Linked DNA regions of Lepisosteus oculatus. The protein of the gene in region 1 binds, or shares a complex with, the protein of each later gene. Links are inferred from orthologs where the notes say so. Each region holds a gene or a part of one and is shown in the gene's direction. Other genes may lie near its edges.

Region 1 (3,752 bases):
CTCCTGCGTTCGGAATAACAAAGTTGGGAAACAGTGCATGGGCACAGTGGTCAGCATTGCTGTCTTGTAGTGCAGGGCTCCTGGGTTCAGTTCCTGGGGTGGAGTGTGTATCTTCTCCCTGTGTTTACGTGGTCTGATCTCTGGGTGCTCCGGTTTTCTCCCACTGTCCAAAGACACACTTGTGTGTTAATTGGCTTCTGGGAAAATTGTCCCTGGTGTGTGTGTGTGTTTGAGTCTGTGTGCTCTAAGATGGACTGTTGTGCCGTCAAGGGTGTACCCCCTGCCTTGGACCCATTACTTAATGAGATGGACTCTGGCTTCCCTGCAAGCTTGTATTGGTAAACGGTTAGCAGACAGATGGACGGATAAACATTTCATGTTTTTTAAAACATTTCTGCTATCTCTTCGCATGTCCTTTAAGTGCAATTGCAAAACACAAAATGTCTAAATCCAAAGTGTAAATTTTACATTTAAGGAACTTTTATCCTGAATAAATACCAGACAATTTTGGGCTATAAAATCCGTTCACCCTTCTTGAAGTGCATTTAAATATGACCACAGGACGCTCTTCTTTAAGACAAAGATAACCGGCCTTGACTGTTGGAGCTGAATCCCTGACTTCTTTCAAGAGCTGTCTGGATGAGATCCTCTGATCAATTAGCTACATGCTACCAAAGGGGTCAGATGGGCAGGATGAGAGGTTTGTAACTTTTTCATGACAAAAGGTTGTGGCAACAGCACAGGGGATTACAGGATGTGATTTACCATCATACGGGGAGATTCACACCATCCGCTGTCGCAATCAAGCCCAATCCATCATTCAGGATCCCAACCATCCCGACCACAGGCTGTCCTCCCCCCTGCGCTCTGTCAAGCGGTACTGTACAGCTAAAGCTCAGCCCACTAGACCTAAGAACAACTTCTACCCTCCTGCAGTACACATCCTCAACACCTAACTGCAATGTCTCAAACTCAATGCACGCCTGCACTATGCACGGTTTTTTCTTTCGTTAGTACATATTTATAGTTCTGGTTGTATTATTTACTATCTTGTAATATACTGTCTTACATTGTATGGTGTTGTCTGTTGTATCGTGTATGTCCCGAGAGATCAGCGCGAATAATAAGTCCAGTGCACACGTACACGTGTAATGAGTTCCTCTACTCTCTGTTCTCCACGGATCAGAACGCTTGCTCTTGCCCGGGGCAGCTTTGGGAGGGCTTTGATGGGCTGTCACTAGATGTCGCTGTTATATTTACTGAACCTGCGCACAGTCGAGGGGGGATAGAGGCCTGAGAAATAAAAATGGCTGAAAGTGAGGAGTCTAAAGCTACCTGTACGTTTTTCTTTAAAAAAACGAACAAAAAAGTCTCTGTTCGGAAGCGAAAAGCCAGCGACAGCGAGAAAGGTAACTGCGTTGTTCTGTTTCTGTGGGTTAATCGTCACACGTCCTTCTCGTTCACCTGTGAGCATGGTGTTTGTCCACTCTTTGTGAAGAAACACATCGACGTAGTAGCAAACATACTCGTGTTTGTAGCTGCTGCAGCCCAGTGTCAGTCTGAGAAGATTGGAGCCAGTTACAACAGTCTGTAAAAGCTTTGCACGTTTTAAGGCTCAGTTGCATATACATTTTTTTTAGAATGGGAATGATTTCCTCATTACGTTCAAACTCCACTGTATCGGCTTAGCGAAGAAGATTGAAATGACAAGAAAATGTTTAGAGAACGTGACAAACTTTTCAGTTTTTCATAATACATAAGGAGATAAACTATCAGAAAGTTAACAATCTGTTGGACGATTATTGGTTACATGATACTAGTGTAGACTCAGGCAGTTTAACATCATACAGGACATGGTATCCATAACCTTAATCTATCACATTATGTGAGTCTACCCTGCTGCTAGTCTGTCAGGCTGCCCTGCGATAATGGTGCCTGGTCATGTGTTACGTCTGTGTTATCTCTGTTAAAGCTGCCTGTTTAAATGCAGTCATGCCTCTGTATTTGCCCCGTCCTGCCCCAGGTAGCAGCAGTGATGAAGGAGGACATGCAGTGATACGACGGGAGAAGAAGGCCACTATTGCCAATCCCATGATCCAGGGGGTAAGATTCCAGGTTTGGAATGGGAATGTTAGGAAATGCAGTAGAACTATTTCCTGTGCCTTTGATACCACTGACACACTGCCTATGAGCATTGCTGATAAAATGAAAAAAGGAACTCTGTAGGTTTCATGCTATTCATTTTTATTTTAATTAAAGGAAAAAGAAAGCGGTTTTATAGACTAATTCCCCTCCGTATGGTGTTTCCATTTCAGGTATTAGAGGTTTGCACATGCTGGTTAATCATACTTTATATTTTAAAATATTTGATGCCATATGGATCATTTATCAAAGACAAAGATTTATTAAATCTCAGAGTGAGATTTAGGCTGATTTCAATTTGCATGCTCTTTTGGTACACACACCAGGAAAAAATCTGGCTTAAATCATGTCTGTCCATTTAGCATATTGTTACATGTTTTTTTTTAATCATATAAAAAGTGGCAAATGTTAAAGTATTATTTAATGGAACAGTATAAAAAAACATGCATAGTTGCATTTTTTAAATTTCCTCATTGTGAATAAAAAAAAACTTATATCCTATCCTCCATAGACAGCTGTGTGAATTTAATATTGTTCTTTTTATCAGTACAGGCAGTAGAGCCTGCAATGGTAAAACCTGAAAAGTATCAAACTGTTGTGCAGCAGTGGCCTTAGCAGTGGTCCTGTTCTGTAGCTTGGTTGAATTACCCCAGTTTTAACTAAGGCTGATACAGTAAATCACGTGAAAGTCCACTCATTTACAAGAAGTGGTATAGCTCTGAAATATTACTGGTATACAGAGTGGGAAGCTCATCCTTTACCTTTGATCTGCCGGCTGTGACACGAACACACAGACTCCTGCACGGAGAGCTCTGGCGTGTTCTCAGATCTGTTCTGAGTGCTGTCCTTTTCCTCTTGCTCTTTCAGACCAAGAAGGCGGAGAAAGAGAAAGTAGCCTCCAGTGACAGCGAAGGTGAAAAGGAGGATCAGAAGATGACGATAGCTTACAAATCCACCAAATCTGCTGTGAGTCATCTGCGAGATATACAAAAACCTGAATACCCCTCTGTTAAAGACTATGTGTAGTAAATTTCCTGACTATACTAAAATGTCCACCAAAGACCAGATAACCCTTGTTTTGATATCTTTCATTCCATTGATCATCAACAGGTAAACCTTTGGTGCTTTGGGGTGAGATTATGTTACTGAAACCATGGGATTCGCTTGAATATTTAGAACCAGGCTGGAAATGTCATTATCCATCAATGACTGGGATTCTTAAAGAGGAGGTACTAGAACAGCGACACTATGGATCTGCTGGGTACCTGCAGGCTGTCAGTGACATCAGTGCTCCACAGATTAGCACCGACTCTTCCTTAAGGCTGAGGTTCAACCAGTGTCTTTAGGGACTCATTTGATCTCTTCCTGTTTTTGTCCCCAATGTTGCAGAAACCAGAAGGGCCAGAGGACATGGGTGCTACAGCGATCTACGAGCTAGACACGGAAAAAGACAAGGATGCTCAGTCCATCTTTGAGCGCAGCCAGAAAATCCAGGAGGTAATCATCCCAGTGGTCATTGGAGAAGAGAAAATTTCTATTCTTGGTTCACAAAATCAGAAAATTGGCTCTCCTGGTACAGCCTATCTTTTAGAGCTATTTAGTCCTTACCT
Region 2 (3,752 bases), on another chromosome or scaffold:
CACGCAACAGCTGCCTTCGTTATGAGAAATGCTGGGAAGATTTATGGAGCGCGAGCGAATTATAGATACCGATCAGATACTGAAGTAGACATAATACGTGCAAGGGTGATTTTTTTAAATCAGCCGTAGAGTCAGTGCGTCACGACTCTTACCGAGCAAGTCTCCAAAAGGAAGTTCAATCTATATTTTTCCCATGTGCGCACTAGGTTATTGTCCAGGTAAAACCGGAAATGAAACAATTACACAAATTCAGTTTCAGTGTAGCCAAAGTTTTTGAAACCGGACAGATATGCCTAGTTATTACTTTATTTATGTTACTGCTAATGTGACGTGAGAAATGATCAGACATGACAGATCCTGCCCATTAACGAAACACATACCATCCCTCAACAGGACACGTGCGTGGATTTAACTAGTGATTTAATTATTTATAAACATTTATAAACTCACGTTTAGGTGAAACTGTTTATTTCATCACCCAAAGTGACGGGAAACACGATGAGAACAGTAGAAAAAATTAAACCCGGGGAATACTTTTCTTTTGTATCATACTGCTACGTTTTTAGTTAAATTGGCTAAATTTGGACAAATGGTGTCTTTGATTTTGTGCATCAGTTGCTGCGCTCTAGGTTTTCAGCTTTTATTTTACAGATACGTATCTACGCACTTTTAAAATTAAATGTATAAAGAATTTACAAATACAACTAGAGGAGCAGAAACAAATAAAAGAGAAAAAACACATAAACAGAAAAAACAACGTTTTGCCACAGGTAATGAAGAAAATTATTTACGTGACCAAATAATATTTTTTACATAAATCAAATGTTTTCCTTGCTTTAGCATTTTTCATTTTTTTTTAATTAATTCTAGTATCTACGCATTATACAGATTCTGCAAACGGCTCTTCTATAATGACCAGTGTCTCATTGATTGTAGAAAGTAACTCAAACCCAAACACTGTTTCAAGACTTTCCGAATAGGAATTATGCAGAGGATATGAATGAGCTGAAGACACAGCATGTGGATCTCAATCGTATTTTAAGAGAGCGTTAAGTATCTCGGGAGTTTTCAAAAGGACACGCGAAAATATACCACTTTGCTATTTCAACAGACGTTGGAGTGAAAAATGTTTTTATATTCGGTATGGACCATCTTCCTTGTTCCTGTTATATGAATAAATGCAATTTAAGATACATTTTTATTATAAGAATGACTGTTCCCTCAAAGGACACTCTCCACTCGCAAGCTAGATATTTTTGTCACATGATCCAGTAACAACCCGGAAGCGGAAGCAGGAGAGAGAGGGGTCATTTGGATATCGTGGGAGTGAATTCGTTCATGATGAAGTGAGTATCGACCTTCTATTAGTTTTTCCTATTTTTCTAAACTATTGCTTTCAATTTAAAATGAACCTTTTGCTGTTTTTAATTGTATAGTGGCGAACGGGTGATGTTATGTAAATTAAAAATGACAAAGCTATCGACCAAGTTTAGCTACCGGTATTGAAAGAAAAGCTTCTTTTTATTACGTGACCAAAACTCACAGCCGCAACACCGACCTCATTCTGTGATACTGTCCTTATCGGCTTTCTCCAGCTTACAAACTTTGGATTTTAAGAAATATTTCATCCTGTGGTTAGCTACTATCTAGCTCTATGTTTTGTTTTGATTTTGGCAGCGACTCTGAGGTTCCAAATTGGGGTAATTCAGTTAGCATTTGTTTTGCATTGTTTGCGTTTTTACTTTTTTTATCTTGTATAAACTCAACCGAGTGTTTTCGCTTCTCTTTAATCGTTGTTGAATTTACACAAGCAACGCAGTAAATGCAGTTAGGTGCCACCTTGTGGTGAGAAGTGGAATTGCTTACAGCAAGTTGTGTAGGACTTCACTAGTTTAAAAATGGAAAATCACCTCTAATTCTACAGAACCGTCACCCTCTTAATAACACAATCTATGAGTCACTGCTTATTATCATTTATTATAATTTCTTACATTTATATAGAATTTTCTGGACACTCCACTCAAAGAACACTACAGGTAATGAATGGGGGACTCTCCTCCACCACCAGTGTTGAGCCCCACCTGGAAGATGGGACGATAGCCATAGTGCACCAGTACGCTCCCCACAGACCAGCTCTCAGTGGGGAGGAGAGCGGAGTGCTGATGCCAGTTCAGAGAGGGGGATTATTAGGAGGCCATGATTGGTAAAGGCCAGGGGGAAACTTGGCCAGGACACTGGGGTAACACCCTTACTCTTTTCAAGAAACAAGACCATGGAGAATCAGGATCTCAGTTTAACGTCTCATCCGAATCATATTGAACTTTCCCCAGTAACGGAAATGGAAATTAGTTAACCTTTCCTTGCTACAACACAGAACACGTAGGCCTGAACTAAATCAAATCTTTGACTGACTCGGATCTGCTTAATTGGATCCCAGTTAAACTGTCCTAAGCCTGTCATTGGACACTGATGGTGATATCAGGTGACCCAGTCCCCCTGAAGTAGGGCTTTGCATAAGCAGGGTTAGAAATCCCTCCTCTGTAGAAGAATGCATTCATGGCAGGCTGGCAGATAAGGACAGAATTGTGAAGGGCTGCCCAGCCTTGCTGTGTGTGTATTGCAGTGGGAGTCAGTCTTTTTCTCTGTCTCTGCGCAGTCCTCTAACCAAGGTGAAGCTGATCAATGAGCTGAACCAGAGGGAGGCGGAGCTGGGAGTGAAGGAGACGGTGTCCTGGCACTCGGAGTACAAGGACAGCGCCTGGATATTTATAGGTGAAGACAGACCTTCCTTTCTCTCCTCTGCATTGATCGCTGTTTATAAACTCGCATTATATGGTGACTGATGAGAAAGAACTACATTTGCAGTGGTGGAAGGGCAGATAAAATGCTCACACTGCTTAGGGCAATGGCTTTAAAGTTGTATCACTCCTTTATTGTGGATCCTTATTGCTGGACAGCTTTAGTGAGGCCCTGGACTCCTGACTGGAAGAATCCCAGATGGGGGCACTGCTACTGTACCCCTAAGTAAGACAGTTTATCCAGATTGTTCCAGCAAACCAAGCTGCACAAATGGGTACCAAAACCTGTATGTACAGGCTACCCTCTGTACTACTCCACCGCAGGAGTGACAGGTGATGGATAAAAATCCAAAAAGAACCTGGAAACAATTGGTTGTGAGGTATAAGTAGGCCAACAGATCAATTAGTTGATTCAGTTAAGTTATTAAGATTTCTTCTGGAAAAAAACCCAGGAGGCCCCTGTTTATTTGTCCAAGAGTGGGTGACTCACTTATCTGTGTTTTCATATTCCTCCAAAGTTAGTGATTCCTACTGGATTTGCTGTTATCTGTCAACCATGTGTGGGTGGCTGTTTTGACCTGTGTGTGTGGTTTCTGGCAGGTGGCTTTCCATATGAGCTAACGGAAGGAGACGTCATCTGCGTTTTCTCACAGTGAGTGTCTGATATTATACGTGTTTTCACCACCTCAGACCACGGGTTTCAAACCCGTGTGCTCAGTGTTAATGCCCTGTTCATATCCCTTTCCACCAGTGACATGTCTCTCTCTCTCTCTCTCTCTCTCTCTCTCTCTCTCTCTCTCTCTCTCTCTCTCTCTCTCGCAGGTATGGGGAGATTGCCAATATCAATCTGGTGCGGGATAATAAGACTGGGAAGTCGAAGGGCTTCTGCTTTATCTGCTATGAGGATCAGAGGAGCACCATCCTAGCTGTGGATAATTTCAATGGGATTAAGGT
Region 3 (3,752 bases), about 1.4 Mb from region 1:
TCTGGACACAGACCAACATGGCAGCCTGCTGGACTGCCCACCCCTTAACTTCTCATGGTTTTTACACCACTCTGTGCTGATGCCACCAGTCAGTGATCCAGAGGACATGAATGCACTGCAGGAGAGCACAGACGGGCCTCTTCACCCACGCAGACCAAGGGTGAATATACAAACACCACGCAGATCGCTCCCCAGGAATTTAAACCCAGGGCTGCAGTGCAGAGTGGGAGAATTGCTCACCACTGCACCGTCGCCTCTTCGAATTCTTAATTCTGTAAAATAACTCTTCTGTTCTTTGTAATTTTACTCACACTGTTCCAAGTCAAGCCCTAGAAGTTTTCATTAGTAACATGAAAACGGTGTTAAGCATTTTCTCTTTTTCTTTGTGATGATGTAACTGCCACTTAGACCATTTAATCGTGTTCTCAGTAGTAATCAGGGAGCCGCTATTTAATCCTTAAAGGGGCTGAGTAGACAAAATCCAAAAGAACATGAACAACCTGCAACCAAACAAAGTATTTTTTTTGTTAACAAGCTAATAAACTCCAACATATATAGTTCATATAATGTAACGCATACGGCCTCCATTGCTTGCGAGAGTTGGCTTACCAGAGTGGTGACGTCACCGCCCTTCCCAGTGGATAGCAGGGACCGCAGCTGCTGGGCTGAGGGGAGATCTCTCTTTAGCTCACCAGGCTGGGTCCCTGTTGAGTGATGCCGGAGGCCCGGGTTTGAGTCCCTGATGGTGGGGGACCGACCTGAGGCAGAAGCGGTGAGGGTGCCTACGTGAACCCTGTAGTGTTACAATAATAAGATGTTAATAAGTTAACACTCTTTTGCAATACTACAATCTTTTTCTGCCCGTTAATATTTTGCTTGACAGGTTCACCTATTTTATCTAATTACAGTATTTATTACTGGATGAATTCTGACATATAAAGTTCCACATAGAATTATTTTATGTTTTTAATTTCATGGATATGAAAAAATCGACAAATTAAATAACAGTAAACTTGTATAAAAGTATTTTTGAACAGGCAGTACAGTGGCCGCCATTATCTTCTTACGTAATTTACTCCGCGCAGGGTCCTTCCTCTCTGCTTGTCGCAGCGGGTGAGGGCGCAAGTGAAACGCATTGAGAGCAACTCGCACCGGATTGAAGAAACATTGGCGAAAATAAAGGCAGTACTGTCTTAAACAACGTGTATACGAAGGTGAGTTTACAGTTATTTTAAATAATTCTGTAGTAAGACCAAGTCAACGTCTCGCGTTTAACACAAATGTTGAGGGAAAGCGGCAAATCATTATCGATTGATAGTTTTCAGACATTTGAATGAACATATAATAAACGCATTTTCATCTAAAGTTTGTTAATGATGCACACGTCGTCCAGGCAAATGGAGTTACTGAAATAGTTCCCGAGTAGCATCAGATTTTTAAAATTGGTTCCCAAATTAGCCACGTCCAGTACCAAACCTGTTTAGGATCAGCTTTACAGACATTCAACTGGGGGCTCAATTCTTTTGCACATTTAACTTTTTTTCTTGGTCTATATGTTAAAGTGCAAAAATAAAAGGATAATAGTTGACTATCCCTACAGTCAAGCTTGAGTTCTGGTGTGAAGTCAGACAAGAAATGCTCTGGTAATAGAAAATAAAGAAGGTGGAATGTCCGTGTTTAGGATGAAGGTTGTTTATACTTGTAGCTTTATTTGCAGCAGTTCAGTAAACCTGGAGCTGAAAAGCAGGAATGACCCATTCTGTCGTACCTTTCATACCGTTGTGGGACGCAGTTTGGTTAGACGTGACTGAAATTCCAGAGAAAGCAGAATCATAATACACGGGCCAGACCTTTACAGCAACTGCAGACGGCCCTGGTGTTCTGAGACACCCCAAATCCGTAGGAAACTGGCGAAAAAATAAACGAGTAAAAAATCATCGCTTTAATTGCCGCGGTTTAGAGAGTGGTTCCATTTGTGAATTTTATGGGTGATTTCAAACACCCCATGCAGGTTGGGGTTTCGTTGAAAATAGTTCAGAGTTCTGGGATTAAGAATAGTAATTATTGCTATAAATCAGATTTGATGCGATGATATTGTGAATTAAGCAAACAACTATATTCCAAGTGCAGATATAATGCAGAGAAATGGACTTGGTTTTTTGTTGACTTTTCCACACGTGAATTTGGCTATGAAGTAGAACCAGGGCAGTGTGTTTCTGAGCCCACTTAGGGCTTTTGATTGATTTTTTCCTCCCACAGATTGTTCCAGCATGGAGACCGACCTGTATGACGAGTTTGGGAACTACATCGGCCCAGAGCTGGACTCCGATGATGACGATGACTTGGACAGGGACGAGCGAGATGCGGAGGAGGTAACAGGCTAGTTGCTGCTGCTGCTCCTGCTCTGCTCTGTGCCCGGAGGAGATGGAGGGGTGTGGGCGGTTGAGCAGAGCCACAGTGCGTGGGACGCCCCTGTGTTTTTTCCTGGTGTCCGGCGGCGTGGGTTCTCCGCTGCGCTCAGCTTGTCCGTCTGCCCGCTCAGGCCGACGAGGACGACGACGAGGAGCCGGCCGACCCCGACGAGGAGACCCCCGGGATGGAGGTGGTGCTGCACGAGGACAAGAAGTACTACCCGACGGCGGAGGAGGTGTACGGGCCCGAGGTGGAGACCATCGTCCAGGAGGAGGACACACAGCCGCTCACAGGTCAGGTCCGGCTGGGGTGCTGCGGCTCTGTGTTCGCAGGGGCCTCTCTCGCTCAGCAAGCGTTCCCTTCTGACAGGTTTCCATTGCCGTCTGTTGAAATCGCTTCATATTATTAAAGAATCCAAAATTCGACCATTTCTGATTTCGCTTGTAGGTTGTAAGGTTTTCAGACATACCAAAATAATTTCAGTCCCTGCTTTAAGACGGCAACATTGTTTTTTATTTCCTTTTTCTGCACTACAGCTTGAAAGAGCAGTGTGAGGTGAATTACATCTGGTTTTGCTGTGAGTTGGAATGTAGCTCTTACAGAAATGGGAGAAAGAACACCTGTGAATTTGTGCACAGAGGGGTCCAGGTTAACGTAATTTTGTGACTTGAACGACCTGTCTGAGATTCAGAGATGTATGTTATAACCTTAGATTAATTTGGCTAATGTAAAGCACTTTTATGTCTAGTAATTTAGTCTCCTGTTTTGATTTTCTGCCTCTGAACATTTTTTATTATTGTTAAGCACTCATAAATGAGAATGTCTGTCATTTAATTATGCAGTTTCTTTTTTGAACATTTCTGGAAATGGAGTAATAAAGATGATGTACTTTGTGTGTGTAGGAAAGCATTGATGAACAAGTTACTTGAACTGTGAATTTCCTCTTCTCTCCTTCCCCCTAGAGCCCATCATTAAACCTGTCAGGACAAAGAAGTTCACGCTGATGGAGCAGGAACTGCCCTCCACTGTATATGACATGGAGTGAGTCTCAGATTACACCAGTTTCATTCAGGTCAACAGGCTCTGGTCTTGTGTAATGGCAGTCGATTGAACATGAATGCTTATCGCCCTGAGGAAGTCTAGCCTCTGCTCCAACAGTCTGGCAGCTGATTCCAGACTCCCACCACACTTCGTGTAACGAAGTGTCATATTTTTCACTTGTTCCTGAATCCTCGTTTCACTTCTAAAGTAGTCCTCTGGGTTGACATTGTCATTGCTTGTGAGAGTTTTAAGTCACTCTGTCTGAATTCCCCTTGTAGCTCCGTTGAAGGCTAAACATT

Evidence for each region.
Region 2: rnf113a (region 1) and rbmx2 share a complex: the UniProt entries of both Homo sapiens proteins name them as parts of the minor spliceosome. The link is inferred for Lepisosteus oculatus from reciprocal best matches to the Homo sapiens genes RNF113A and RBMX2.
Region 3: rnf113a (region 1) and eftud2 share a complex: the UniProt entries of both Homo sapiens proteins name them as parts of the minor spliceosome. The link is inferred for Lepisosteus oculatus from reciprocal best matches to the Homo sapiens genes RNF113A and EFTUD2.

Annotation. Positions count from the first base shown.
Region 1 is NC_090723.1:1,932,401-1,936,152, reverse strand, and holds the start of rnf113a (E3 ubiquitin-protein ligase RNF113A), read left to right. Parts: upstream 1-1,283; 5' UTR 1,284-1,306; coding exon 1,307-1,409; intron 1,410-2,023; coding exon 2,024-2,103; intron 2,104-3,009; coding exon 3,010-3,108; intron 3,109-3,531; coding exon 3,532-3,639; intron 3,640-3,752. UniProt on the Homo sapiens protein: Required for pre-mRNA splicing as component of the spliceosome. As a component of the minor spliceosome, involved in the splicing of U12-type introns in pre-mRNAs. E3 ubiquitin-protein ligase that catalyzes the transfer of ubiquitin onto target proteins.
Region 2 is NC_090703.1:47,213,645-47,217,396, reverse strand, and holds the start of rbmx2 (RNA-binding motif protein, X-linked 2), read left to right. Parts: upstream 1-866; 5' UTR 867-1,338; coding exon 1,339-1,346; intron 1,347-2,656; coding exon 2,657-2,772; intron 2,773-3,398; coding exon 3,399-3,450; intron 3,451-3,620; coding exon 3,621-3,750; intron 3,751-3,752. UniProt on the Homo sapiens protein: Involved in pre-mRNA splicing as component of the activated spliceosome. As a component of the minor spliceosome, involved in the splicing of U12-type introns in pre-mRNAs.
Region 3 is NC_090723.1:536,288-540,039, forward strand, and holds the start of eftud2 (116 kDa U5 small nuclear ribonucleoprotein component), read left to right. Parts: upstream 1-1,091; 5' UTR 1,092-1,214; intron 1,215-2,259; 5' UTR 2,260-2,270; coding exon 2,271-2,372; intron 2,373-2,542; coding exon 2,543-2,705; intron 2,706-3,374; coding exon 3,375-3,453; intron 3,454-3,752. UniProt on the Homo sapiens protein: Required for pre-mRNA splicing as component of the spliceosome, including pre-catalytic, catalytic and post-catalytic spliceosomal complexes. Component of the U5 snRNP and the U4/U6-U5 tri-snRNP complex, a building block of the spliceosome.